Linked DNA regions of Struthio camelus. The protein of the gene in region 3 purifies or fractionates together with the protein of the main gene of each other region. This does not show direct contact. Links are inferred from orthologs where the notes say so. Each region holds a gene or a part of one and is shown on either strand. Other genes may lie near its edges.

What was found.
Region 1: the proteins of SLX4 (region 3) and PGAM5 purify together in Homo sapiens (affinity purification with mass spectrometry; 4 studies listed by BioGRID and IntAct, with this or other methods). This does not show direct contact. The link is inferred for Struthio camelus from reciprocal best matches to the Homo sapiens genes SLX4 and PGAM5.
Region 2: the proteins of SLX4 (region 3) and RTEL1 purify together in Homo sapiens (affinity purification with mass spectrometry; 3 studies listed by BioGRID, with this or other methods). This does not show direct contact. The link is inferred for Struthio camelus from reciprocal best matches to the Homo sapiens genes SLX4 and RTEL1.
Region 4: the proteins of SLX4 (region 3) and SLX4IP purify together in Homo sapiens (affinity purification with mass spectrometry; 6 studies listed by BioGRID and IntAct, with this or other methods). This does not show direct contact. The link is inferred for Struthio camelus from reciprocal best matches to the Homo sapiens genes SLX4 and SLX4IP.

Annotation. Positions count from the first base shown.
Region 1 is NC_090958.1:11,689,492-11,697,137, forward strand, and holds the start of PGAM5 (serine/threonine-protein phosphatase PGAM5, mitochondrial), read left to right. Parts: upstream 1-4,640; 5' UTR 4,641-4,669; coding exon 4,670-4,965; intron 4,966-7,646. UniProt on the Homo sapiens protein: Mitochondrial serine/threonine phosphatase that dephosphorylates various substrates and thus plays a role in different biological processes including cellular senescence or mitophagy. Modulates cellular senescence by regulating mitochondrial dynamics.
Region 2 is NC_090959.1:18,012,958-18,020,423, reverse strand, and holds the start of RTEL1 (regulator of telomere elongation helicase 1), read left to right. Parts: upstream 1-4,461; 5' UTR 4,462-4,528; intron 4,529-4,990; 5' UTR 4,991-5,012; coding exon 5,013-5,114; intron 5,115-6,367; coding exon 6,368-6,566; intron 6,567-6,925; coding exon 6,926-7,019; intron 7,020-7,466. UniProt on the Homo sapiens protein: A probable ATP-dependent DNA helicase implicated in telomere-length regulation, DNA repair and the maintenance of genomic stability. Acts as an anti-recombinase to counteract toxic recombination and limit crossover during meiosis.
Region 3 is NC_090956.1:18,640,897-18,647,928, forward strand, and holds the start of SLX4 (structure-specific endonuclease subunit SLX4), read left to right. Parts: upstream 1-4,018; 5' UTR 4,019-4,173; intron 4,174-5,697; exon of another isoform or gene 5,698-7,032. UniProt on the Homo sapiens protein: Regulatory subunit that interacts with and increases the activity of different structure-specific endonucleases.
Region 4 is NC_090944.1:129,058,774-129,066,703, reverse strand, and holds the start of SLX4IP (protein SLX4IP), read left to right. Parts: upstream 1-4,914; 5' UTR 4,915-4,936; coding exon of another isoform or gene 4,937-4,963; intron 4,964-5,340; exon of another isoform or gene 5,341-5,367; intron 5,368-7,930.

The DNA.
Region 1 (7,646 bases), on a different chromosome or scaffold from region 3:
GAAGCAGGCCAGGGATGACATCAGTGTTTCCTTTAAGAAGGCCAGCAGTAAGTCCACAGTATATGTCTGAATACACTTGGATCAAACATTTCCTTTTCTCCTCTTTTTCTCTTTCTCTCTCTCTTTCTCTGTTTCTTTCTCTTTCTCTCTCTCCTGTCTCTCTCCTTTGCTCTCTCTCTCTTTTTCTTTCTTTCCTCTCTTTCTATCTTTCACTGATAAATTTACAGCTACAATTGTTACACTGGAAAGATGACACATGGTGAGTAAATGTGCCTGGGGTCATGGAAAAGGCTTTTCAAAAAGACATTTCTTCATTTCAAAAGTCCTTTTATTACTCTAATTGTTTTATTAAAAAAAAAAAAGGCTCAAAGTTCATTGATTTCACTTGCCAGTTGTGGGCTAGAGACCTGCCCTTGCTCTCCCTGCGGCTGGCGGTAAAACATCCAAGCACTGACTCATCCCTGCCGCGATCCAGGTCCCATACCGAAAACAGAAGTTCTTCGTATTCCCCCTGTAGTGAGATTAACCCCGAGGGCTGCCTCTGCTCCTGCTGTTTCCCTGCAAGGCCCTTACTGACTTTGTTTCGCTTTGTCCTGGATACAGCACAGTTAAGAGCCGTATTTCTGTAGTTCATCCAGTTACATCACTGGGCACCTTGCTGGAAGGTATCTCCGCATCCAGCCGTAGAAATGGCATAACACCGCTGGGAATCATCCGAGTATCGGACCTGTGGCATCAATAGCACAGGCATCTACTCTTTTAGCTAACAGAATAATTCCATTAGCGAGCCCCATCAGTACGCCGTTATCCTCTTAGGTGGATTTTCTGCTCATAGATGGAGCACAACACAATAAAACTGGATTAGAACAGTGGCAAGATTAATATAAAAAAACAAAGAGCCAAATGTTAAACATTATTGATGTAACTAAGGCAAGACTGCATGTTCAAGCTAGTGGTAACACTTCAACATATTGTTTTTAGAGTATTTTTTTAAAACTTAATTGAGTTATATGCTTTACAAAACAGTAAAAATAATCTAATTGAAAATAACATCTTTGGACTTACAGCACATGAGCTAAAATAATCTCAAAAGACTTTTGCATATAAAGTGTATAGTAGCTCTTAAAGTAAGGAAAAATAAGCTGCAGAATGTGAGCGTTTGCACAGGAAGTTTCTGATGGTGAAGTGTTATCACAGTAGAACGACATCCAAAACGCAGCTCTGAGGCAAACAATCAATATTATGCATTTTCATTCTGTTGCACAGTGAGATTGCCCAGATGTTCAGCAGATTTTTGCTGAGGGAACAGTTCTGAAAACTGCTTAACAACAGTTTCAAACTTTTCTGGCAGTGGGCTGGGTTGGGTGTAGGCTGCTGCTGTGGCTGTGCGCGCGGCAGACTGGCCTCCGTCTGTCCTGGCATTTTGACCTCAAGCGCTGGACATTTTGTGAGGGCTCCAATCAATGCACCTTTGATAGCACTGAGATTGCAGAATGAACCCCTGTGATTTCAGACTTTAGTTCAAGTACTTTAGAGATTTTTAAGGAACTGTAACATTTGTCCCATCCAGCTTCAGCCTGCCCCTGTCCCCACACGGCTCGATGGTATCTCACGCAGTTTTAACATGCGCAGGCCCCTTGCTCAGGCTCCCCTCTTCCATCAGGTGTTAGATATTAAAGATGGCAACTGGGATTCTGGTTAGGTGGTAGGCTGCAGGGGAAGAGGCAGGATAAAAACGAGTGTTACTGGGGATAAAAGGGAAAGGGCATTGTGGGGAAAAAAGCATTAGAAGTATTTTGCAGGAAGCTAGGAGACTGACGTGTGGTGAAAAAGAACAGTGGGGTTTATAAGAATTGCATGAGAATTTTTGCAAGTAAACATCTTCCTTCTGGGCTCTTAACAAGAAAGAACATGTACAGTACAAATACAGTACACCTCTATGCTAAGGGCTAATACTTCCAAGATTAAACTGAAGGAAAATGATCTAATTTAAATTTTAAAGCTGTATGAGAAGAAAGTGAATGCGGAATACCTTAAATACGGATAATGAGGCAGGCCAAAAAAGGTGTGTTGGGAGAGCTCATCTGTAGTAACAGTATCTCCGGTTCATTTGTCTGACCTGCGGGGGCCACTATTGATCTTCAAACCGTCCAAGAGTCAGAGGACCTGAAATATAGTTTCTTATTCTGCACTTTACATGTGTGAGGCAGAGACACAAAGTGGCGGACAAGGGAAAGACATTCAAGCTGGAAACGCTGGAAAGGGGTTTAACTCCTTTAGCGGCAAGACCATTTTCTTTTGGGCCGGCACAATGTCCTCGCAGTTCTCCTGTTAAGTCCCTCAGAACGATGACGCACGTTAGCACCAAGACTAAGCAGAATGAATTTATGCATGGTTGGGGGAAGGAAGTGAATCTATTTTCGGTTATTCTGGATTCACTCACACTGACTGAGATCTTGCTGTTGGAAGCTGTGTAACTAGCTGGCATGTTAGTGGAATACTACAAACAGTGCAGTTTGTAGCGTGGGGAATGTGGATAGGGAGGAAAAGCTTGAACAGGCGGACAGGAACGATAAGAACGCACAATTAAGTATGCGAAGTCTGGACAACAGAATCTGTAAAATCTGCCAGCATCCTGAGACTCAGATTGAGTAGCATTTTTCTCACCTTATGCAAACCACTGAGTTTAACAGGCAGAAGTCTGTGCTGAATTTTGGGAGATAGATCAGAAGAAAAGAGCTGTATTCTGCTTATCTTTCCCTGAGGCTTCTGTGTTTTTCAGCTTGCAAATAAATTCCTACAAAGCTATAAAGGATTGCTCAAGAGATCATTTGAAATTTAGCACTGAAATCACATTTATAGTAAGTTCTGGCTAAGTAACAGGAACGTGGCATGGCATGAAAGAGAAGAGTATGCATTCCTGAAACCTACTGAGCAATCCCCTGTGATAGATAGTAGGAGACTGTAATTTCCTAAGACAAACGTGAGGCTGAAGGGTGTTAAGACTCTGGCTTTGGATTTACAGTGTCAATTTATAATGTGGTTTGTCTCATAAAATGGTACTAAATTTGAGGGCATAAACAAAACTGAAGTTAGTTCCTCTTTACAACCCCTTCCCCAAACTGATGTATTTTTCATTTTTCATTTTAATGGTCTCAGATCTCAGTTTCTGACAGATCTTCCGGGAGACAAGACTTGTCTGTCTGCATAGAAAAGGGAGAAGATCCTGCTGAGGCTACTAGCTGGAAAGTCTGCCACCGCTAATAGAATATTTTCCATAGATGTTTTATTGACACAGTACTTGAGTGCTTGCTGCATAAAAATCAATACCCATAGCAGACTGTGAACTGGAGAGAAAAACTGGGGCTGTTTCTTTTGGAACTCTGCTTTGTTAGAGAGGTATTTTTGGGGGGGAAGAATGCAGAAGGAACTGCTGGTAAAGATGAAGGCTTGACAGATGTATCAGTCTGACCGCAAAAATTTAAATCTTTCTTTTTCCTGATCCAGAGGACATAAGAAAAAATGCACATATGCAGAAATACGTGGTTGGAGTAAGGTAAATTAACCTGTACGGAGAGTCATGCAGTTATGGACAGACTTTACTAGTACCCAAGCACGTTAATTTAAAGGCAGCTCAGGTAATTTTGAGTCATTAATTTTAACCATTAACAAATTTTTCCTTCGACCCCTACTTTTGTCTTCTGTGTTTTTTTAAGTTTAGACAGCATCCGCCTTTGAAGAGTTGTGTACTTTTGAATGCGGCAGTACCACTGGATCCTGACCCGGACCTGCTTTGGTGCTCACTCCATCCTCCAGGTCAAAAGAGCATATTACTAGTGACCTGCAGATGATTACTTTTCCAGTTTAACCACACTGTTTCCTCTACGTAACGCAATAGCGAGGGAGCTAAGCGGAGCTCTTGCTCCCAAGAGGAGGCTCCTTGTGAAGCGACGGGTTGCTGTTGGTGGTAGGAGCGGTGCTTTAGGCGGGAGAGGACTGCCCGGCTGCTGGCAGAGCACAGCTAATTCCTCCTACGCGGGGACGGCTACGAGCTCCGGGGCAAGCTAGCTCCACTCCGTGCAAACCAGCTGAGCGACGACTGCTGCTGCTTCCGAAAACCCTCGATCGTGGTTTCCAACACCAGGAGCTCTGGCCTTGTAACTAAATAGCAAGCATGTTTTTCCTGATGAAAGTTGCAATCGCCTGTTCGTACCGAGCAGCGCTCGCGCCGGCAACGGTAAATCAAGGCGGTTAAAGGAGGCCAAGCCGGAGACGGTGGCTCTAGCCAGGCCTCCGCATGAGGCCCTCGAGGGCAGCGGGGGGCAGCCCGCCCCCCGGGCCCCTCTCAGCTGCGCCTCTCGCTTGGGCTTCACCCCCTTCAACACCCTGGGGGTAAGCGGTGTGAGCACCCTCACACTGGGCCACCAGTAGCCCGGCCGGAGCAGGAACCAGTTTGCACCGGGCCGAACGGGACCGGGCCTCCAGCTGGGGCCTCCACCGCCCGTCCGACGCCGTGGCGCAGACCCCCGCCCGCCCGGCCGCGGCGGGGCGCTGCGCGGAGGAAGTTTGCCCCGCGCGGCTCCCCGTCGGGGGCGGGGCTGGGCGCGCTCGCGCTGCGGCTCGCGCGGCGCCGGGGCTGAGGTGAGGGCCGGCGGCCGCCGCCCGCGCCATGTCGTTCCGCCGCGCCCTGGCGCTGGCCGCCTGCGGGCTGGCCGGCGGCTCCGTGCTCTTCTCCGCCGTGGCCGTGGCCAAGCAGCCGGCCCGCGGCGGCGGCGGCGATGCCGAGCCGCGGCCGGGGAGCGCCGTGCCCGCCGCCACCACCGCCGTGCCCGCCGCCCCCGCGGCGCCGCCGGGTTTGCTGCTGCTGCCGCCGCCGCCGCCCGCCGCCGCCTCCTGCCCGCCGGCCCCCGGCTGGATCGAGAGGCCCGCGGGCACCGGCGGCTTCTGGGACAGCAACTGGGACAGGTGGGCGCCGGGGGCGCGGCGGCGGCGGGGCCTGCTCGGGTCGGTCGCAAGCGTGGAGCCTCCGGCTTCACCGGTTTTTTACACGAGTGACCGTTCGGCAGCCGCTGCCGCCCTCGAGAGGGTCAAGAACATACACTGAAGTCGAGTGTGTGTGGGGGGGGGAGTGCAGCTGAATATCGGGAAGCTGGCAACTGCCTGGTAGTTTGGGGAGAGGAAGGCGGTGCCTGAGGGACTGGGGGTCGGCGGGTGCTTTGCCAAGAGTTTGGGAGGCCTCTCGTTTAGCAGGGAGGCCCTTCGCTCGCCCCCCGAAAGCCGCCGGACGCGCCCCGGCCCGGCGGAGCGAGGCGGCGGGGCTGCCCCGGCCGAGCGCGGGCCGTGAGCTGCTGCAGCGCGGCTGAGACCGCTGAGCCTAGCCCTGGTTAGGCAGGGGAGTGCTCGGGAGGAAGGTCTTCCCCGTGTTTTCGTTTGGACGGTTCAGAGGCTTCCCCCCCCGTTTGAAAAAAAAAAAAAACCGCGCAGATAAAAGAATTACGATAAAGCTATGTCATGAGATTGCAAAGCCTTAGTGCTTGTGCTTATCAAAACCCAAGTGTTCAGAAGGCTTATCTACTTTTTTTTTAACCCAGTGTCAACCTTATTTCAGAGTTGCTTCGTTTCTGCACAAAGGTGTTTCTTTTTAATAGCAACCTCCTTGCGGACTGTTTTTACATACTAGGCATGTAGGAGGCCTGCTAGTTATGTTGACCCTGGCACTGCAAGTAAGTATGAGTAATGTTGCTTTGAGCTGTAATTTGATTATGTTCTTAATAGTGTTGTCTGTGTTCACGCAAGGGTTAACTCTCTCTTCTGATTCTGCACTTAGGATGTGCAAATTTTCTATATTGAGCTTTGGCTTATTCAGCTTCTGGCTGGTAGAATTATCTCCCCAGGGAGACTTATGTCAGGCTCCTATTTAATCATAGTAAATCCAAACTTAAGCACTAACAGATTTCTATTGTATAATGCATCCTGATTTGATTTTTGAGATGCAACAGAATCAAATACACATATAAGTAGGGCTCTGTGTGCCCTAATTATGAAAATCATAGTGACTTTCATTAAATATGGTTATTTCTAGTTAAATGGGTACTAAAACTACTTACTTAATTGTAGATCCTGGTTCTGCTAAATAGTTGGCTTGCTGTAAGGGCAGGTGAACTTTCAGACCTTTTTCTGGTATCTCAATACTCCTGATACAGGGAGTAGAGATTGTGCTATAGCTGATGTAGCTGTCAGAACTGCTTAAACAAATACCAGCTAGAAGACATTTAACAGTACAGTTAATGATAGAGTACTGCATCACCATTCATTACAGTGTACAATAATGGCTGTATATTACACAAATATATTAGTGCAGAGCAAGTTTAGTTTTGTACTATATGATGTCCACCAATTGGTGTGGTACCGCTTGGTACCACCATTTGCTTTATCTGCTTGAAACCTTCTTAGCTCCACTTCTTGTGTGAGGTTTGCAGCAACATTTATAGGTAAATTTGTTAAATACCTAGGCTTATAAATATGTGAACATCTGACCATTTCTCTTTTGGAAAAAAAAATGACAAAGTCAATTCATGAGCAGATAACTGGCTATTATAATATTCTTGTAACAGTTCAGAAAGTTTGAAGTTTTAAGCAGCACAATGCAGCAGTGTCTGCTTTCAAACTTTCTGTTAACCTGATATACTATATCAAAGATGTTGCATTGGTCTGTGCCACTTGTGCAAGAATTGCACAGCTCAGTTTTTGAAGACTAGATAGTTTCATTTCCTGCAAAACACTTAATCTGAAAGCTATTCTAATTAGTTTTCTATTAAATAGAAAGCTTGAAGTGAAGGAAAAAAGCCTTGAATTATTGTCTTAAGTTTCTGTGCTTTGGATGACTTCCTTTATTTTTTGAATGGTCCTTCAAAATAGCTTTATGAGATCTAGAAATACCTGGATTTCTACATATGCTACACACACAAATTGAAAAAACTGTCAGGACGACTGATATGTTTCAGTGACTTGCAGGGCTTCCTGGAGAAGAGGAATTGGGTGTAATCAGGTCTAAAGAGAGACCCTGGCATTGCCATTATGTTTCAGCAAAGTTGTGTCCTGCTACAAACTTAGATGAACTTTGTTAGGGGAATGCAGAAAACCACATTTGTTGGCCTCTGAACTTCAGAGGCCTAAAAACCTATTTAAGATAAGCTTCAGCAGTATTACAAATTTTCCTGCACGTAACTTTCTAAAACTGTTTTATGCTAAAAATCCTGTTAAGCTTAGTTCTCTTCTCAGGGCTTGTTAAAATATCTGCTGCTCTTCACAGCATGTGTTACCATCAAGTAAATTCAGACCTACTGGTGGAGGAGAGAGGGGAGGACCTTGACTGAGGCATTTCTTGTCATGGGTTTATGCCGTAGGATGGATAAATCTCCGCTTTGCTTTAGAAATCCACTTGAATTTTTCGGATATTCTTTCTGTTTTTCTAAGGTATCTTCCTAACAGTATAGTTTCTAATGAATAAAAAAAAGTATTCTGTGTAATTTTAATGGAACTTCGTATTATAGGACTGTTGCTTCATTTTTTAATGCTTTGTATGAAAGTTCTTAACAAAGACCTTTCTTAACAGTTTAATGAACATGTTGAGCCTCTTAGTCAAA
Region 2 (7,466 bases), on a different chromosome or scaffold from region 3:
AGACAAACAAACCAGTTTACAAGAGTATATACATGCAAACTGTTAAGGGTGGCTCGTCTATTAATTTTGAAGAACAGAAATGTCTTTTGGAACCAAAGAAAGAAAAATCACGACCTGATAGAGAAAACTATCTCCTCAATACACAACACATCCCCAAATCAGAGACCCATAGTAATCCTCCTTGTGTTTCATTATAGGAGACAGTCGTCTAGGGCAACAGTTCACAAAGGAAGATTTGCAGGCTGTGGCTGTTACAAGAAGGGTTACAGGCATGGCAGAACCACACTTCTTTATATTATTATTTGTGGCTCTAAGTCTTGCACAAGTAGGGCTTCCAAGAAGAAACATTTGGGAAAAAATTAATCTAGTGACTAACGAAATAAGGTTGAAGGATGACAAACACCTAGTCTAAAAGGAAAAGCACGGATTGCCATATATTACTCTAATACAACAGTGTAGGTATGGCAATAGTGCAGCCATGAGACCTTCCAGTACCATTTGCAGTCTCAAGAAGCTAGGAGAAGCTGACTTAGTTGGCATGAAATAATAAAAATCCCACATAGGGCAGCAATTAACCCTCCTCAAATTATTAAATAACAGTCGAGAATGGAGATAAAGACGGTCATTGTCAAGCAAGAAAGCTATCTGAGCCCAGCCTGAAGTAACTGCAACTGAGAAAGAGAAACCAGTGATAACAACATCAGCACTAAATCAGGAAAATGTTTCCCTAAGGCAAGGGAAACAACAGAGTTATTCTGAACGTTTCCTCTTTGGTATCTATCATGTGCATCTGCGAAACGAGGCCAAACTGTGCAAAGGATCTGGATCATGAGGAAGAGGAGGAGATGTATTAATTTAGTCACTTAAAAGTGTAAAGCAAGCTAGGAATTCAGGTCACCACAGAGTCTGCTCAGTTAGAACTGGTCAAGGTTGTACAAAAAAAGTTAGCAGTGCAAAACGAGATAACTGACTGAGGAACAACAACTGGTAAAGAATAGAAAATTTTGAGCACGTGAAGCTGTGTCTAGTTCTGGCTTCAACCATGATTTGTCACGTGGCTTTCACCAAGTCACTAATCTCATCTGCTTCAGTTTCCTCATCATAAAATGGGTATTTCATTATCCACCTAATAACAGGATGATTGTGATTAAAATTTGAGTGCCAAAGAGAAAGCAGTTTTACTTCATGTATTTCCCAACAGTAAAAAGACAGCAGGGCTCGGGATTATCTGGATTCAAAGGAATCAAATAATTATATGGTCAAACAAAAGTTTTAGATGGTTACCATGGGAACCATTACATGTCCTCAGAAGGACAATGAATGGCAACTTAATCCTCTTGTATCTAAAAGGAGAAAAATGCATGAATAGCAGTGGTCTCACGGTTGGTCACCGCTGCTCTTCAATGTATTCGGTCCTGTTCCTCAAGATTCTTGCTTGTCAAGGAGGAGAAATCCTGCATGGGTGCCCCCCCCCCCCCAAACAAAAGTGAAAATTACTCTCCTTGTACTTCTGCATTCTACAAGCTTTCTACTTACAGGATTCTCTGCGTAGTGAGGTTCAGCCACTCACACATCCACTTCCCTACAGAGTTTTAGGATTATCTTCTGCAAGATTTTTCTTTTGTACATTTTTTCCTTATAGACATGTTTTACTTTCTGTTGCCCACTTCAAATGAAAACTAGTTCATCCAAGATCTTCACCATCTACTAATGTGAGAAAGCACTGTGTGGAACCTCTGGTAGGCTGCACTGCCTATAGGACGGATCAGCATGAAGAAGCCATTAATGGTACAGGGACTGGCCTGTCATTATCCTCCATGCCACTCCAAAAATTCTCCTCTTTCCCCTCCTTTTCCCTCCCCAAACCCATGGCTTATACAATCGCAGGTTTTATCCTAGGGAGCTAAATCCCAGAATGAGAACCCAGGAATGAGAATGATGTCCGTACGTGTATGTGACAACAATGTTCTGGCTTTAGTAAACCTCTAACATTCTCTTCCAACTTGAATGAGGAATAAATCTTTCTCTTTAAACTTACAAGATTTTGTTTGCTCTCTTCCCAGTTTTTAGAAGAAATTGGTGAAGCAATGATAAAAACAGACTGGATGATGCTGGCACTGCAGACTTGGTCAAGTAAGGTAAATGGTGCAGAGAAATAACCCTCCAGAGCGATAAACAGCACTCAGCCAGTGCTGAGTCATATCTTTCCCTGGACAATAGCGCACCTGCTGAATCATATTCCTTTTTGGGTTTGGGAACTTTCCAACTCTTCTCCCTCTAAGGTAACACTGCTTAAATCAACGTTACTTAAATAGTAGTGAAAATAATCTGATTTTACACAACATTTATATTCCTCTTCAAAGCATGAAACATACATTTACAGGGAACAATGACAGAAAAGGCAGGGAATATTCAATAGGTTTATGGCCAGTTTTAAACCTTTATTCTCCATTACAAATACCTTATCCCACACCTTCACAGCATCCCATCAGTTCCTACAAACTCATTTCTTTTGCAGTTTAGTCTTGTATGACTGGTATCAAGTGAAAGAGTTAATACGTTCAGAGATATGAACAAAATCGCTTGTTACATTTTGTGTTGAGCACAGTGAAGAACAAAAGGAGTAACTCAAAATCAAATGACACCAAAAGACTGTATTTTAACGCTCTCAAACCGTAAAAAAACAAGGACTGTTTGAATGACTTTTCTGCAATTATTCAAAATCAAGTCTGACATATCAAACAACCTTAGACGTTCTGTCCTTAGCAACATTTTCCTTAGGCATTCTTCAATTACAGATGCCCCACTCCACAAACAACTGTCTTTTCTCACAGACATACAAGAATATAGAAAACTTATTATGCCTGAGGTATAGCGACCCATATTAATAGAGTACTCCCAATCACACCTTATTAAGTTCAGCTTTGTATTGCAAGAGCTGGAAAACTGAGGCTTATAAACCACAGAACAACTGCTAGCACCCAACTCCAGTGTGCTTTGTTGTACTTCTGTAGCCTACTAGCTACAATTCAAAACAGCTTACAGACAGACAAGTTCAGCTCGGGGAGATTCAAGACTGGTAACCAAAAGAGCAGGATATGTAAGCTTCGCTATCTGAATTCTTGGAAGACACAGAATATACCAGAAGTTTGAGATCAGATGGCACAATACACTCACATTTAAGGTCACATTTTTTCTTCTCTTGAAATATTAGAATACTTCTACATACAGACATTACCCCTTGCAACTTGGTAAGGGCATTTGTAAAGTTTCAGTAATACGACGCTACATCCTGTTTTACACTTATATAGTAACCATCTAACAGCGTAGGAACTTGAAATGACTTACAGGGAGATGTGGTGTGTGATAAAAGATTTTCTTCTACCTTCTTCCTTATATAATTGCGTAAAATATGATTTTGCAAAATTTTGTGATCCAGGCAAACCACGTCCATTTATTCAAATAGTTGGATGGCTTGCTAGAATCTTACAAGCACTGGCTCATCCATCATTCCAGAACGGTTCAGAATTCATTACAGTCACATAGGGGTGGAACCCACCCTTAGTCTGAGCAATTGAAATTCCAGCACAGCCATTCCAGGCCACATGCACTGACATAAAGACAGGAAACTGAAGGCTGAAAGGAAAGCAGAGAACGAAGGAGCAGGACATTCATCCCTAACGATACCCATCAGAATTCAGATACCCATCAGAATTCACTACTGTTTGCGATGCAGAGACTGCAAGGCGCAATATAATGAAATAAAACCCCTTGTACTGAGAGCATGGAGAGTTTCAACACAGAATCCCGTAGGAGTCTGCGTTCTCCCTGTAGGCACTACCACCGGAGGGTGGCAGACAGGCGGCATAAAGCAGAACGGTGTGCTGGAGAGAAAAACTGGTCAAGGAGATGACCTCCTACATAGGCCCCCTGGCCTTTCATGAAAGAGAGGGAGAGAAATCCGGCCTCAACCAGCTACCGTGAAGGAGCACTCAGACGCTTAGGGGGAACCCAGCAGGTTTAAAAAAGCATGAGAAACGTCACCGTTTTGCTGCTTTTTGCAAGCAAACGGTCTATCTACCGCCTCTTTGCGGCCAGGCTTCCCGCACTAGGACGGAAAGGAGAAGCAGCTGGGGGGCCCGAAGCGCTTCCCGACTTTCCCGCTGCCATCACGCAGCTCCCGCTGCGGAGCGGCCCCCCGGCCCCGGCTCCTGCCCGGGACCTGCTCCGTACTGCCGGCCTCAGGCAGGGCCTAACCTGGCCCCACAGCCCCGCCGCCGCGCACGGGGTGGGGGGGGTGAGAGGGAGGTCGCCAGCCCCCTGCCAGCGCCGCCGCGCGGGCGGCACCGCGAGCGGCGGCAAACGGGCCCCGCCGCCACAGCCGGGGCCTACCGGGCCCCGCCGCTCGCCGCCCCGTTCCCGTGGCAACGCCGCAAGCCTCGCGAGAGCGGGCGCGGCGGAAGTGACGCGGCGGAAGGAGCCCGGGCACGTGACGCAGGCGCGGGGATTCTGAACGGTGGCGCGCGAGGTGAGGCTGCGGCGGCGCCCGCGTCCCCATGGCAACCGGGGGGAGCGGCGGGGGGGGGTCTCGGCGGCGCGGGCAGGGCCGAGGGAGGCTCCGCCGGTGCCACCGGGGCGCCCGGGTGCCGGAGGGTGGGCGCAGCGAGGGGCGCTGTCAGGGAAGCGGCCCTGTCCTGGGAAGGGCCTGTGAGGGCCGCGGGGAAGCACCGGGGTCCGGCCCCCCCGGGGAACGTGAACGTGGCGGCCGGGTCCTCCGGTGAGCCCGCTGCGCCGGGCCCCTGCGCGCCCCGCCCGGGCTGCGGAGCGGATTTGCTGCTAACGTGTTAGAGGCCCCGATTTTGTGAGGGGGAGACGGGCCATTTCGGGCGCTTGTTATGCAAACGAGCATCCGGCTCATTGCTCGAGGCGCTGTCGGGCGCGCGGGCTCCTCCTAGCGTCGTGTTACTGCAGATCACGCGCATGCCCTTAGTTTCAGGTGCCTTGCGGAAAACATGCCTAAGGTTACTCTAAATGGCATCACCGTGGATTTTCCTTTCCAACCGTACAAGTGCCAGGAAGCGTACATGGCCAAAGTGCTCGAGTGTCTGCAGAAGGTGAGTGCTGGGAGGTGCCGGCGGCGTGCTGCTCCTTGCAGCCAAGGGGCTCTGGCGCAGCAGTTTTTCCTCTGCTAAAATTTAATTCTTGACTGTGTTACAAGTCAGATCTACAGCAGCTTAGTTCCTAGGTGTATCTTAGTTCATTTACTACGCGTATCTCATTTCTAGCTGTGAAAAGGGGTTCCTTAAAAAAGGAGTCATGATTCAAGTTTACTTCTTGTTGTCTGTATACTGCCTTTTTCAATTTTTTCTGATTTTATTTGTAATTTTATTTTAGTATACAGTTATTAAAAACCCAGAAATGGGCAAGTGTTGTATCTCTCAGTAGAAATGAGGACAGGCTATTTCTGCCTAATGTGGGAAAAGGAAGAAAAATTAAGGAAGTAGTTCTTATGTTCGTGCACTCTATCCTTAGAAGTTTTGCTTTTGTATTGTTAGTGAATTGTACTATTAGTGTAAGTTGCCCTTCTAGCTACGATAATGTAATCTTACTGAATGAATGTCAAATAAGGAATGGTTTTTACAATAGTTATTTTTGTTCTGGAATTGGTAAACACGATCTCCAAGGTCCTTGCTTCTTCTGAGAGATGAAACAGAAGCTTAGGCTTTCCATGATAGCTCAGCATTCCTCAGGATCATAGGCAAGGGCTTGGTCCTTCTCATGTGGTAGTAAAACTTATATAAGCCTGTTACATGAATAAATTCTTTTAGTGTGCTTACCATGATTTGTCTCAGCTGTGCAAGCTCACCTGTTATTTATAATGCAGTTTGTGAAAACACTTGGAAATTGGAATGTCCAGTAGAGCTAGATATTTAGAAATGGACCTGCTTGCCAAACTTTCTGCTGAAACTATGTCTAGATTTTGTGATGCAGGATATAGTCATCGTTCTAGGGAAAATAAGCATTCTATAATCTAAGAATCAATTTCTATTTTTTGGAGTAATTTCTAATATTTGTGTGCCTTTTATGCTGAAATGTGATGCATTCTATTTAGCAGAGGCATTTTCCATCCTTATAGTAAATAAAGGATAACAGTTGTCTCTGGATTTTAGCCTGAGTTTCACTGAGCTGATTAGAGGTCACAGGTCTTGCATGTAAAAACTTTGTGGGGTATGTGTTTCTGTCATATGGTATACTTTCCTGCATAGTGAATTCTCTTTTACTGGGAAAATGCTGTACTGCACGATGATCTATTCTAGTTGAATATCCAATATACTCATTTTTTTCATTCTATTTCTTTTCAATAAAGAAGGTAAATGGCATTCTGGAGAGCCCTACAGGCACAGGAAAGACACTGTGCCTTCTGTGTTCCACTCTGGCTTGGCGGGAACACTTTAAAGATACTATTTCAGCCCGCAAAATTGCACAACGTATGAACGGAGTGGAGCTCTTTCCTGACAGACCCATGTCATCCTGGGGCAATGCTGCTGTGGATGCTGATGTCCCAGGTAAGTACGTTTTATCGCTCCCACTGAGCATAAAATCAGGAATGTTAATGAACGCTTTTGACTTTACCTATCTCTTACAATGAGTATATAGTCATAAAAGCTATGGAAGCATTGTTTGGCAGCTGAAGCACAATTTCGTACTATTTCATAGGTTTTTAAAGGTGTCTTATGTATTTTTAATTTTCTTAGAACATTAGAAATCTCTTTAGCTCATTTCTTTTGTGTGAGTAGTTAGATGATAAAATTTCTTGCTGCCTCTATAAAACAAATTGTTACAATGGCACCACAGGGAAGGGAGACTAATGATATCTTTAGTTCTTTCTCTGCTAATAATTTTTTTTTTCCTCTCTATGTAACAGCTTATTACACTGACGTTCCTAAAATAATTTATGCCTCCAGAACTCACTCACAACTTACGCAAGTCATTAATGAATTAAAGAACACAGTCTACAGGTAAATATGATTATGATACTGCTTCTATCCCAAGAAAAAGGGGAGGAACCCAGCTATTTCAATAAGTATTTGAATTTGTGTGGATGAATGTATAAAACAATTGATACCGACTGAAATGCAGTTCTCTTAATGTGCATGTATAGAACCTGGATTTCTTTGATTTTTTTTTTTTTTTTTTTTGTGATCCCCCCCCCCCCACCCCCAATAGTTCACAGCTTTTCTTTTCTTATCATCTCCTTCTATCTTAGAATTTTCTGAATTCACTCTGGTTCTGGTTCTCCACTTATATTTACTTCTGAAATTCCAGGTGGGAGGAAGCGCGGAGGATTTTTTTTTTTTCCCCTATCTCCTTAAATCCTATAAGCTTTTTCTGAACTTGAGACAAAAGAATTCATTAGATTGCTGTGGGTTTTTTGGCTCGGGGAGAGTAAATTTTTCCAGTTTACA
Region 3 (7,032 bases):
GTTTTTAGAGAGACTTTTAGTACACATCTAATGCCCAATGCCCTTATTGATTGCTGGTGATTCTTCTTGGAAATTGTATTTGATTTCACTGTCAAAGAGAACAAGAGAAAAAAATTTATTTTATAACAAATTCATTGGAAGTGTATCCTCTCTAACTTGTGCTGTGTGACTTATGGAACGGGAATGTGCAGTTAATCTGGCAGGTTTACAAGAGGAGACAGGAATATATGCTGGCATGCACCATCCCAAAGTTCACAGTTTAGGGAAAAAAGATAACTATTCTCGAGGAAAATGCTGCATTGTTGCTTGCTTTGTCCTTTCAAGAGAGTCAGTGCACAGAGCATTGTGCTGAGCTCCATCATCCAACATGGTCAAAGCTCATGAGATCCTGTGAAGGGCAGGTTAAACCTAAACTTTACTCAGTCTTCCCATCCACTGTTATTAAACTAGGCCCCTTCACTGCTTCTCTGATGGTTTCTGACCTGGACTGAGCCAATTTGTATTGGAAGCTTCAAAAAGTTAGTCTGAAGTTGCCAAACAGCCACCAGAGTTACAAGTCTTTATAATAGATCAGGGGAACTGCTTGTCACACTGAGCAGAGAGAGCAGAGAGAAACACAAATTTTAAGATGTGCTTAATTTAGCATTCTGGGGATACATGTGTATATGTATAGATGATCTACAATGTGTGCATTTTTTATATATATATGTTTATATATTTAGTGTAAATAGCATTGCACTGTGACTTCAGGCCCAGCTGTTTTTAAAATACTTTTAATATTGGAAATACTGACTATACTGAACACGATCATAGTTATCTAGAGAGAAAGCTCAAAAATAAAGCATGATAGTAAATATCCTGTCCTTTGCAACATATATCAGAAGTGTTGCTATTTCAAGGATCTCTCTGCACCTATATAACTGTGTAATGGGAGGGTACTAATAGTGTGTATTTCTAATTAAGTCAAAATTTTCATGGCAGAGTTTAAAGCACTGGGGCCCTACATTCATGCTTTAGGCATGTCTGTAGAAGTGGCTTCACTTCCACTAGTCTGTGTTTTTCTTACCTCTTCAGTTCTTGAGCCCTGCCAGCCCAGCACGTCATCCCTGTCCCGTGTTACTGCTCCAAACCATTTTTAGCCATTTTTTTCTGGCTGAAGTTCAATAGGAAGCTGTTGTCTCCCAGCTCCCTGCACTGAGCCAGGAGAGCCAGCGCTGCCTGCTTGGCAGGAACCGTGTGTACCCTTACCCCCGAGTCGCTGTCCCTCTCCAGCCCCACTGCCCTCCGGAGGCTCTGGGGCCTCTGGTAGCCAGAAGGTGATATTGCAGCCTCTTGGTCAGCCCTGCTGTGCTGGCAGGCCCTAAGTGAACAGCCACAAACTCCACCAGCTGGGAGAGCTGCGGCTGCTGTTTCAACGCAGAGAAGACTTTGTGATTGGGGGCCGGTCGGTCATCTCTGATGCAGACCTTTTCCTTAACGGGAAGAAAAAGTGAATTCTTAAAAAGATTATTAACGAAAGTCCCGTAGGTCAGCTATCTTCCCCTACATAAATAGGGAATCAGATATCCTGCCTCTGAGCAGCTGCGTGATTTTGGGAGAGCTCCTTCCTCTCTCTATACCTGTTATTGCGGCTGCATCTTCCAGATATTCTTAAGTTCCAAATAGTGAATAAAGCCTTTTGTAGCAACCATGTCCTTGTTGCCGTTCAGCAATGGTTAGAGGCATAGAAATGTCCTGTGAAATAGATACCAGTTTGGTAAGCAGTAGGTATTGTCAAATCTCTGTGCTTTGGAGCTTACCTGTATAAAAATGCCACAATTCAGCTGGTTCTTTTTAAGTGCAGATTTTTAAAAAAATGCAATAGAAGGGATCAAGGTCGCAGTGTTGTCTGGCAGCAGCGGCGTGGAGGCTGGTCTCTAGCTGAAGATGGTGCATGTTCACTGTGTTCAGTGTCAGTTGCTGTAACGCTGCTGGGCAATTTCACGGATCGCAGGTGCGGACAGGGTTTGCAGGCTGTCTGGCTTCTTGTGGAGAAACCGCTTGACGTCCTCTTGCCGCCTACCTCGATGGCATCTATCAAAGAGGACACAGACTTCGGGGCTCAATACCAGCAAGGGTTATGGCTGTAGCTGGGAGGAGAGGAACGCGATCTGGCACTTGCAGAAAGCTTGAGTTTTACCTGGGCTATTTGTCAGGGTCTCCTCTCCTGCTCGTTCCCTGCCTCACTTCATCTATTTGAAAACACAGGTAAGAATATGAAGGCAAAAGTAAGGCTGTTTGGCATAATTTAGTGCTCCCTCTAGATTAGATTCCCTGCTTCTCTAATGCTTAGTTTGGATTTTTATTTTAAACGTTTGGTGCTCAAGAATTGCATTTATGGTATCGTGCAACAAAAAGTTACTGTGACCTGGCTTAGTAGTAATCGTGGAACCAGTGCAATGTCTCAGGACATCATAACTGGAGTATTTTCAGTATGTTTGTGCAATATTTGCTTCTAAGTTATTGCAGGATTTTCTTAAGAGCGCTTCTAATTCCCATAAAGCGTAGCAACTTGAGAGAGGACTCGAATAAACTAGCAGACGTGTTGAAAGACACAAACCAAAGGATTTCTTCATATCAGTTTTGGTTCTGGTTCTGCCATGCGGACATGGGCAGATTCTGTCTCCTGGGGAGATTCACTGCATAAAATATTCTGTTAAATCTTGCCAAAATCACCAAGGGCGCTGCTTTTTGCTTAACATTCAAGCTAAAATTGTTTGAATTCAGCATGGATTAAAAATTAAATTGCTTTACTGGTACTGAAAAAATATGGTGTCTCAGTAGCTCATTTTGTTTTAAAAGTTGTAGTTTTTTTTTTTTCCCTAGAAAATTTCCAAACTGGCAAGACTATAACAGTGTCAAATTGTTGTGGTAATGTCAAATTTTAGGGATCAAGATGTAATTACGGAAAAATAAATGCTGATGCACATAAAGGAGCCATCAGGATGCTTACATTTAGTAGCATTATTGTTAGTAAAGTACTTGATGTTTTTGAAGCAAACTAATAGGGCTGTCCTTAGCAGCATATGGAAGACGCTGTGGCTGTCAAACGTCTGTATGCCCATTCAGAAACGTTACCTAGTAGTAGCCTTGGGTCTTACTGCATCCATGCCAAGCTTTAAGGAAAAACTCCGCTTCCGACACAGAAACCTGCACTGAGAACGGAAACCCAGCGTAGGAAGAAGCCCCCTGCCTCTCTGGTGCTTTGATTACCTGAAGACCTTTAGCCACAACTAACTGCTCACCTGGAGGAAATTGCTTTTGAACACAGCTCAGAGTTTAAAATTCAGTATGAGATCTCAGAGCCTGGACTGAGCGGTGTGAAAGCTTGACATCCATTTTCCTTTTCGACCCCAGGTAGTAAAAAGTACGAAATACGAAGGTAACGCTCTCTCGCTTGACCCAGGAGCCCGGGGAAGCTGGAGGTACAGCGCTGCTCACCTTCCGTGTCAGTACTGCCACCCATGTCCTGCTGAGGACCAAACCGCTCGTTACATCCCCAAAGCACTACAATTATATTGGTCTTCAGCGGCGGCTTTGTAGCCCACCAATGAGTATAGGGCAGGTTTTATCCGGGCAGCTGAAGGAGTGAGTTTTTGGCGCTCACAAGCAAATGTTACGTCTTTATGTCCTCAACATTCATATGCTTCTACAGCTGCGTGTTTCCAAGGATTTTAATTCTTTTCAAAAAAAAAAAAAGGGCAACGCTCTGCTACATGTTTTCACCTGAGACCTGTTCACCTGTGTGGCAGCCGCGGGCCCCGCTCAAGCGCTCCTGTATTTTACTCTTCCCGCGGTTGCGGCGGGGGGCGGCGGGGCTGCCCGCCCCGGGGCGGGTTTCCCTCAGCGGCCGCCGCCCACCGACGCGCGGCGCGGAAGGGCCGCGAGCAGCCGGCGACCGTTGGGCCGGCTGACGGCGGGCCGTCACCATGGCAACCGCTCCCGCGGCGGGAAACCTTTGCGCCTGCGCGGGGAAGGCGCGGCCCAGGCCGAGCGCGCGTGCGCAAGCCGCCCGGGAAGGGGGGGTCGGGGAGACGGTTGGCGCGCGGCGCATGCGCTTCGCCTCAGTGTCGGCGCTCCCCGCCGTTGTGGCAGGGCGCGAGGAGCGGAGGGAGCCCGTGGCCCGGCGGAGAGGTCAGCGCCGGGCGGCGGGCCGGGGGCGGCTGTGGCGGCGGGCCGAGCGGGCGCGGCGGCACCGGGCGCTCCGCCCTGTCAGCGGCGGCCGCGCGGGCCGCGCCTCTGTGGGGCCGGCGGCGGGCGGGCGGTTGGCGTGACGTCACTCCGCCGCCGCCGCCATCGGCGCTCCCCGGCGCGGCGCCACCTGCCGGCGGGGAGGCGGCGGCGCCGCGGCCTGCGAGAGAGGGCGAGGTGCGGAGCTGGGTCGCCGCGGGCCCCTCGGGCCTGGACAGGGCGAGGCGCTGCCGGCGGGGGCGGCATGGGCCCCGCGCCTGCACCCGCCCCGGGCGCTTCCAGCCGGGCCGCGGGGCCCTGACGCCTTGGGGGAGGCTGCTTCGCGGGCCGCGGGGTCGGACTCCGAAGGGCAGCTCCTTGCTGCGCTGCGGCCGCCCCGTGGGGCGAAGCCTCAGCCCTTGGCGTCACCTGCCGTCAAAAGCAAACAAGAGTTGGGGGTCAAGCGGAGCCGAAGTTGTTCAATGGAGGGCCGGATAAGGCGGGTGCGCCGTCGGCGGCGGCCCTGCGCCAAGGTGTGCCTGATGTCAGCCGGCTGGGTGTTCCAGGCAAACTCCCCGCGCCACGCTGAGCGCGGCGGTAACGTCCAGGGCTGCTGGGGAGATCCAGTAAAAACTGAAACAACCGTCAACGATTCTGTTGGCTGCTTCGTGAAGCAATAAAGAATTGTATCTATCGCTTCCAGGCCCAAGGGGCCTGGGGCAAAAGGGCCCACCTTGAGCGGAAACAGGCAGTGCTGGCTGTTCTAATGGCAGGACTGTGCCCCTGATCCTGCAGATGTGCAGGTGCACATCTAGTAGCCATGATGATCTTAAATAAAGCAGAAATTGTGCATTTGCAGGGCTAAAATATTTCTTATTTGTAATAAATAGTTTGATGCTAGTAATGCCCGAAGGCAACAACTTTAATTCATGCTCAGTCTACTGGCTGCTGTATAAACTCAAAAATCGTAGGCTGGGTACAGTCGCTGCTCTAATTACAAAAAGATCCTGGTTTGGTTAGCTTTCACATCTCCTTCAGATCCTACTCCTCATCTCCCTCCTGGTCCGTCCCCTCCCCTTTGGTTTGGCTGTTTGGCTTGAAACAGTTTTCTCTGTATCTAGGAAATGTTATATTGCTTTGCACTGTGGGGATGTGTCAGCAGCAGATTGGAAACAGAAACAAAAGAAATTTTATCATAAGCTTTACATTCGGAAGAAAACGGACCTCAAGTTCTTCTGAGCGTTTGCTTTTCCCACTGGCTCAATTTTTGTTAAAGCTTTTTCCAAAGGAGGTGTCAAATGGTAGAAAATAGCAATTTAAACAGGATATTTGACACTTTATTGTGCGCTCGTGAACCTCCAACTATGCTTCGGGGTCCTCAATTGTGTTTAAGGCCCTTCCTCAGAGTTTCTAGAAAGAATTTTCCTGAAAGCTAAACATAGAGGAACTGACTTAGTAGTCTGTGAGCTGACCTCTTGCTCTTATTAGTAGGCTACGGAACAGACACATTTATGCATCCCTGAGATTATTGGTGTGATAACCAGAGGTTCCTGGAGTGCTCATATCAAGTTTGTAGGTAATGATATATTTATATATTGAGGATGTCAAGGACTTAAGTTAGTAAAAGGAAAAAGTAGTTTAATGTAAAGACATGTAAAAATCTATTCTGAGAACTGTAAACCAAGCCTATCTACTTCCAATATACTTTGTTAGTATGGAGAACAGGTATGATAGGGCAGAATCAGCTTAAAGCAATTTACCTACAAGATACTATGTTATGTATTTTACTGTAGCTCTTATATATTATTTTAGCTGGGAAGAGAGCAAATTATACATTACTGTAAATTAATTAAATGTTAGTGTAAAAGACCTAGGTTTAGTCTGCCTGTGGAAATCTGTGATGAATTTGGTCACCTTTCAAAGCAGGTATCTTACTGTTGTGGAGAATGCGGAAAAATCAAAATACTGTGTTAAATTTCACTATATGTTTGGCTTTTGTGATGACATAGATTTTGACATAATCTAAAATCAGAAGATAAACTTTTTGAAAACTATTGATAGAATGTACATTGTTTTAAGTAACCATCCCCTTCAGTATTTAATGCCCTTTAGAATAACACTGCACTCTTGAAAAGAAATGGCTTGCATATTTAACAATAAAATCTTCTTATTTCTCTTTATAGTCACTTCCTCACTGATTATTCAGTTGATCTCTTTCCACAAACATCTGTAACTCTTGATTGCTGTGTTCTTGATCATTCTTTATCCTACCAAATGATGGAATCCTCTGAAATGATCAAAATTGTTGCTGTCTGAGTTGGGTCAGAAACCTGGGGTAAGGTAACAGTGTGGTCACTCGTGATGGAGTAGGTAAGGCTTTTTTCTTTGTGCCGAAAGGGCAGTTGGAAAGAAAGTCTTTCCTAAGCTATGTGCTGCTAATGCTGCGTTATCTGTAGGTAACCTCTCTGGTTTGTGAATGAATTGTGCTACAGGTTCACTGTAGCAATGCCGCTGCTGTTTTCACTAGTGCCAAGCAGGAAACACAACCTTTTGGCTGCTCTACTTACCAAGGTGGCCACAGAATCAGATACGGACCCTCCCATTAGTCTGATGTCAGGGCTCTTAACTCCTTTGTAGTTACTGGATAGACTTGCCTATCCTGTGAGTATGGCCTGTGCTCCTGTTCCTAAAATATGACTTTGTATTGAGATTTATATTGCATGCCTGTGCTAGTTTGTCACGCGGTGTGCGTTGTTCTGCCTCAGTCTGTCATCAACGCTGTCTAGCAGGTCCCTTGTTCGTGTCATCAGACAGCTTGATCAG
Region 4 (7,930 bases), on a different chromosome or scaffold from region 3:
CAAAAATGGGCAGAATGTGAAAAGTTTGCAGCAGTGCTACCAAAGTATTAGAAGTTGGCTTTTGTGTGGCTGGCGTTTTCAGTTCCTGATTCCCAGTGAGTTCCAAATTCCCTCAGCGCTGGAAGCAGCTTCTTTGCAAAGGTAAGATACTGTTCACAAGCTGATTTAAGCGAATAAAAAAAAAGAAAATAAAAACACCTTAGCTCTCTGAGAGGCCATATCTCCTGCCTTCTACTGAGTTTCCACCATTCCACTTAACCTCAAATTTAGGAAAGAAAGACTGCATCATTTTTGAAACATGTCTGACTCTTGCTAAAGGGAACCTAGGTGTTTAATCCTAGATTTTGCTTTCTTGTATAGGTTGGCCATCAGAAATTTGAGTGTTGAAATACCAGGTCTAGACTTCTTTTTTACTTTTTTTTTTTTTTTAATATGACTAATTTCTGAGAGGAGTTTTTCTAGTGTATTTGCTTATTTCCACATTTCCTTATGCCCAAATTACTTTTCAGGCTTAGATTAGTTTGTGACAGATACGGTATTCTAGGAAACAGATTTTTGTCACCAAACAGTAGCAGCTGTAGTAGTTCGCTACCTTTCATGTTTTTTGCAACATAGAAAATATCAAAGCTAAGTTTTCCATGGGTTGCCGGCTTCTTTTCTTGTAAAAGTGATAGGTAGTTTTCTCATTCCCTGTTGTTATTAGGTTTCTTTTTGATCTCTGAGTTTCTGATCTTTTTTCATCTCTGACAGATCTGTGATTTTCCTGATGGACACATTAGGCATATTCTTTTTGTTGTTTTACAGATTGGTTTACAGCTTTTATGTCTTCTGTATTTCCTTTGCCTCCTGTGTACTGCCAGTGAAGAAGATGATGTAGTCAGAAAATTGGCTTACTCGCATGCAGTGGAAATTGAATCAAGGACAATTTTCCTTGCACATCTTTTTGTCTTCCGTAGTTTTGTAAACTGGATTTGGAGAGTAATTTTTGTCTGCCAAAGCTCCTTTTTCACTGCAGTAGCATATTTGTTGCAATAGTAGTGTTCTGGGTGGCAAAGTTAGGCTAAGAAAGTCTTGTGATGCCAGAATAATATCAGCTGGTTCATCCCCATGTCTTGTTTGTTTTCAAGAGGGACATGAGCGTATGGTGGGGAGGTAATGTTCTGGTATGTTTTTTTGCAACTCTTATTCGTATCATCGCTACTGTAAGAATTAGTGATAAAACATTAACAGTCCAAATATTGTCCTTGAGTTCACAAGCCTGCAGCAACCTTGTGAGTCATGTGCCGCGTGCTTCCAGGAACATAGGAGCTTGCCTATGCTCCTATGTATGTCATTTTCTGGGCTGGATATGGTAAACTACCTTGCATGCTATCATTCTGAGCTTTTGCTAACCATATTCCAAGGTAGAGGTCATTCAGTGTAAATATTTTAAAAGTTTATTTAATATCGCTGGTGCTGTTGCAGGAGCTCTTAGTTGATGGTATACTCCACAGCAAATTAAGATTTGGTTGTTATTTCTCTGCCACTGTTTTTCCTATTTTTCCTTTTTTTTCTTTTTGGTTCAGGGGGAAAGCTAGGGATTATTATTAAAGCTCTGATACTAAACTTTTATTAAAATAAAATAAAAAACACAAGCTCTGAAATGTCGCTGTTAATTTGGAAGCAAGTTTTTTTTTTTTTTTTTTTTTTAAGAGAATCTGAAGAGTCATAGTTACCCAGGTTTTGTAGTATTTTGACAGATGTTTTATGTATTTTATTTGATTTTCACTTTTGCATGATGCACCTTCCGTGGAGTTCTTGAATGCTAGTAATATGATGTTGTGCACCATATAAGAAGCTGAAGAGTTCAGTTGGTTTTCACTTTGCTGGCTGCCATTTTGTTTTAGCTTCTATTGCAACCTAGTTCTAGCGACTGCTATTTCAAGCATTACTAGGTTTTTATTTTCTACTAAGATTCTTACAGTAGTTCTACTAGGTTTACTTCTACTTCCACTTTACTACCACTGTGAACTGAAACAGAGCAAATGATGTGATATTCCAAGTGGTCCAGAGCACCGTTCCCTACTTTGTTTTTCTGGAAATTGTTGTCAATAAAGTTGACAGAGTTTACTCAAATAACAAAGTTTCTAGGACTATTTTGTGTGAGGGAGAATGCTAGTTTATGTGGCAGAAAGCATGGCATGGCATCCCACCTTCTGTGTGTGTTGCTCTTATTTGAAAACTTGATTTACTTTGTATTACTCTCTGCTTACTCTTACTGTGTAGCTGATGTGGTACAATAGATGTGAATCCTCTGTTTCTAAGCTTTTCAGAGCATAGTGGAAGCATTAATTTTTATTATATTAAATTTCATTTTCAGTAGTTACTTGTAGAATAACTCAGTTCAAAATCATTTGTATCTGGTTACAGTAATATACTTTGTTACATAAAAGAGACAGATAAGAAGCTAGTTTACTTCTCACTGTGATCTTTTTACTATTTCTGTTTCTTACTGCTTGGATATTGACGTTATATATAGGCAAATCATTGAAATCGTTGGGAGTTTTCTCTGAGCCAGGATGTGGGATTGTGGTCTTGCTGCTTTCACGTTTTCATGTAGTTGTTTTCAGATGTCATGTCTCAACACTTAGGTGTTTAGGATGGGAAAAACTGCACACAAGTAATTGTTTAGTTCAAAACTATTGCTGGTCAGTTTTCAGATCAAAATTATCTCTGCTATGCTATGCAGTTCTTCAGTGGTTCTTTATCCTGTTTCACAATTTTTTGAAGTTAAATAGGGATAATGACTGCATTTTGAAATATTTAAGTGTAGTTCGTGGCAGAGACCTTGCTGACCTGACTTATATTCTGAATTTTTGACATCTCTGTCAGAGTGATTTGCAGTAACTTGACGTATGCAGTGACAAACTGGAATGTGTTTCTCCATTTATATTCTTTTCCTGTACTATCTCTTACCAAATTGTCCCGACTTCTCTAGCTTATTAAGAAACTAATTCTTTAGAAGGTTTTAGAACATAAAAGGCAACTTTGTTGTCCGTGTGCTTTCTGTTGCAGTTCATATATCACAGGCAGCAGCTACAAGAGCTTGCCTGCTTCCTTGGTTTTGAAGCTTGAGCTGTGTGTTTGGGTACTCGTTCTTCTGCCAGCGTACTGAGACCCTTGTTCACCTGATTTTCTCTCCAGTCTAGGTCCCTTCCTTGTCTGTTGCCTTTGGTCCCATACTGTGTGAAAACAGTATACATCTTAACCTTTTATTCCCTATTTTTCAAAGGTATAAAAATGGTGCCATCAGCCCATTCCATGTCTCTTCTGAATCCTAACTCTTTGGCGTTAGCTGGAAAATTTTTTACCTATTCTTCCCGCTCAGCAACTGTATTATGTTTTGACAAATGAATATTTAGCTCCCATTATTGTGGAGAGAGATGATCTTCCCCTAGTAGTTTCAGTGCTGTGTCCCTAACTGCGTTGTAAGTTGGGAAAAAGGCAATTAAAAAACTGAAATCTGTTTAGAAGGTGACTAGAGCTATGATTTGAATTGCAAGCCTACTTAAAACCTGTGGACATTTGAGGGAGGCTATTGTTCATCTAAAAAAGTTCTTAGTGATTAACAATATTGATAAAATCTGTAAATCTAACTGTCCCCTGGAGAGTAGAACAGATTTCAAGATCCAGGAATTATGTTAATTGTGGAGTCTCTTAATAGTAGGAGTTTCTGGAACTTTTCTCTCATACCCAGTGAAGGGCATGTTTAGCTTTCAGGGTGAATGGATTCTTCCTAAGCTAACTGGAGTGGTCTGAGGCAGGGCCAGGATCTGTGCAGCTGGGTACCCCTTAGTCAGTAACTCAAATTAAGCAATCTAAACACTGGAATAAGAAGGAGAAGCGGATGTCTGAAATTTGTTTTCTTTTTGTACAGAGAAAAGAATGCTTGGGTCACTTTTCTGTTATATGTATAATAGTATAAAATTTAAATAAATAAATATACTAGGTAGATCTTCTGTCAAAAAGCTGACCGGAAACAATAGTTTCAAAAGAAAAAAAACCCTCTGCTTTGTTTTTGAACTTGTTCAAACTCTGATGCAGCTGGTTATCAGAACTGCAAGTAGGGAATGGTTTTCTTAATTCTGAAATTAGCAACATCAAGCAGCAGTAAGCAAAGTTCCTGTTAAGAGAGCATGATGGAGGAAGTTATTTCTATAGGGCCGGTGAGGTGCATGCAATAGGACATAGACAGGCTGCTTGTAGGCTCCCGAGATTAATAAGGATGGAGTTTCCATGAGGTAGGAGGGACTGAGCTTCACTGAGAATGAAAGGTTTGAGGACTCTGTTGAACAGAGCAAGTATTATTTCATATGCTAATTTTTTTTTTTTAAACAAGTAGCTCCAGGATTTTTATTTTTCCATCTCTGTGTGTATGTGTTTTTCTTTCCCTCTTTTCTTCCTTATTCTTTTTTTCTTTGAGCTATGCAAAGGAATTTTAGCTGAAAGCTATTACTTTGAAAGAGAAACCAGGCTGGAACCATACAGATAGGGGCCAGAGAATGAGACAGTAGTTAGGGTAATTTTCCAAGTTCAGTTTGCTGCTCTCCCAAAGGCTTCTTGTGGGTGAGTAAGGTTAGTTTGTCTGTGTCTCGGTACTGGTGTGAAAAATAGTTCTGTATTCTTTTTCAGGTGTTGGATGCTCTGTACCTGAATGGTAATGAAGCTCATTAAAAGAAAACAAGATAGGTCGCTATGCAATTCTCTTTATGTAAGAGTTTTCCTTGGCGGAGTATAAGGTGTGAAAAGCAGCAGTACTCACAAAATCAACTAGTTTTTTTTTTAGTATTGACAAGATGAAAAATATCCTTGTCGCTTGGCATAGAGATCTGAGTTCTTTCTTGTGCTGATCATTTTTAATTGATATTTTTATAGGACCAGTTTACATTGAACTATCATGGCATCTAGCAAATTTGTCATTAAGGTAAGTAGAATTTTGTAACTTTCATTTAAAAAAAAATCCTGATAATAATACTAAGTAGAGTATTTATACATGGATTTTAAAAGTTAATGAAGACGAGATGCATCCTTTAGACTTCTGGTCATGGTAGCATAATTCATTTCAGTTTTCCTCTCTCTTGGGAAGCAAACTCTTTCAAGCACTGCTATATCATGGCAGAGTGTGTTTGGGGTCCTTTCAGCTGAAGATTAAATAGTCACAAGTACCTAATAGTGATTAGTTTTATAGTTAGAACTAGTAACTGCATGAATTCTCAATAAAACAGCATTACCTACCTGAACTGAAATTTAGTGTTGATTCTTCTCATACTGTAATTTTGCGGTTATTCATCTTTTCCCCAGATAATCCAAGAGTTCCTGATTTAAAGGGTAATAATATTCTTAAACTCTTTATCACTCTTGACTCTTCATTTGCATCTTAGTTCATCTTTTTCCCCATTTTCAGGCATTAGACATCTTACTAACATCCAGTAACGTGCTTTTGCAGTTTATTTTGCAAACAGTCTCTAACATTTGGGTATATATCTGAAGAGTAATGCTTTTCAAAACATTCTGTAATAAACATTCTGCCTTAACTTGTTCAGCTCACTAGTAACTAAACCACAGAGCAAGTTTTCCTGTAAAAATTATGCAACCTTCTCTTTTGGACCCTCTTTTCTGTTTCTGTTTATCTGTTTGGGGTAGTGCAATGCCTGCATTTCTAGGTGATTAGAGCAATACAGTACTCTTGGAAATGGTTTTCCCAAGAATTTTCTTCACAGAAGAGACTGTAGAATCACAGAATGGCCAAGGTTGGAAGGGACCTCTGGAGATATCTAGTCCAACCCCCCTGCTCAAGCAGGAACACCTAGAGCACATTGCACAGGATTGCATCCAGGCGGGTTTTGAATATCTGCAGGGAAGGTGACAACCTCCCTGGGCAACCTGTTCCAGTGCTCTGTCACCCTCACAGTGAAGAAGTTTTTCCTCATGTTCAGACGGAACTGCCTGTGTTTGTTTGTGCCTGTTGCTTTTCATCCTATTGCTGGGCACCACGGAGGAGAGACTGGCCCCATCCTCTTGACACCCTCCCTTCAGATACTTGTACACATTTATGAGATCCCCCTCAGTCTTCTCTTCTGCAGGCTGAACAGGCCCAGCTCCCTCACCCTTTCCTTCAGAGGAGAGATGCTCCAGTCCCCTCAGCATCTTTGTAGCCCTCCGCTGGACTCTCTCCAGGAGTGCCATGTCTCTTGTAGTGGGGAGCCCAGAACTGGACACAGTACTCCAGGTGAGGCCTCACCAGGGCTGAGTAGAGGGGCAGGATCACCTCCCTCGACCTGCTGGCGATGCTCTTCCTCGTGCACCCCAGGAGACCATTGGCCTTCTTGGCCACAAGGGCACATGGCTGGCTCATGCTTACCTTGTTGTCCACCAGCACTCCCAGGTCCTTCTCGGCAGAGTTACTTTCCAGCAGGTCAGCCCCCAGCCTGTACTGGTGCATGGGATTATTTCTCCCTTGGTGCAGGACCCTGCGCTTGACTTTGTTGAACTTCAGGAGGTTCCCCTCCGCCCACCTCTCCAGCCTGTCCAGGTCCCTCTGAATGGCAGCACAGCCCTCTGGGGTATCAGCCACTCCCCCCAGTTTAGTATCATCAGCAGACTTGCTGAGGGTGCACTCTGTCCCTTCCTCCAGGTCATTGAGGAATATATTGAACAAGACTGGGCCCAGGACTGAGCCCTGGGGGACACCACTAGCCACAGGCCTCCAACTTGACTCTGCGCTATTCACCACAACCCTCTGAGCTCGGCCATCCAGCCACTTCTCAATCCACCTCACTGTCCACTCATCCAGCCCACACTTCCTGAGCTTACCTAGGAGGATGTGATGGGAGACAGTGTCAAAAGCCTTGCTGAAGTCCAGGCAGACAACATCCACTGCTCTGCCCTCATCTACCCAGCCAGTCATCCCATCCGAGAAGGCTATCAGGTTGGTCAAGCATGATTCCCCTTTGGTAAATTTGTGCTGACTCCTGATCACCTTCTTGTCCTGCACATGCTTAGTGATGACCTCCAGGAGGAGCTGTTCCATCACCTTTCCCGGGATGGAGGTGAGGCTGACAGGCCTGTAGTTTCCTGGCTCCTCCTTCTTGCCCTTTTGGAAGGCTGGAGTGAGAATGGCTTTCTTCCAGTCCTCAGGCACCTCTCCTGATCTCCAGGACCTTTCCAAGATGATGGAGAGTGGCCTAGCGATAACATCCGCCAGCTCCCTCAGCACTCGTGGTGCATCCCATCAGGGCCCGTGGTCTTGTGGATGTCAAGTTTGCACAAATGATCTCTAACCCGATCTTCCTCGACCAAGGGAGAGTCTTCCTTTCTCCAGACTTTCTGTCTTGTCTCCAAGGTCTGGAATTCCTGAGGGCTGGTCTTAGCAGTACAGACTGAAGCAAAGAAGGCATTCAGCAGCTCTTCCTCCTCTGTATCCTTCATCACCAGGGCACCCAACCCATTCAGCAGCGGGCCCACAATTTACCTAGTCTTCCTTTTGCTATTGATATATTTGAGAAGCCACAGGAACCACAGGAAGTTCCATCTGAACCTGAGAAAAAACTTCTTCGCTGTGAGGGTGACAGAGCATTGGAACAGGTTGCCCAGAGAGGTGGTGGAGTCTCCTTCCCTGGAGATATTCAAAAGCCGTCTGGATGTGATCCTGGGCAATATGTTCTAGGTGACCCTGCTTGAACAGGGGGGTTGGACTAGATGATCTCCAGAGGTCCCTTCCAACCTAAACGATTCTGTGATTCTGTGAAGCCCTTCTTGTTGTCCTGGACATCCCTTGCCAGATTTAATTCCAAATGGGCCTGAGCTTTCCTGGTTGCATCCCTGCATACTCTGACAGTGCCCTTATATTCCTCCCAAGTGGCCTGTCCCCTTTTCCACATTCTGTATACTT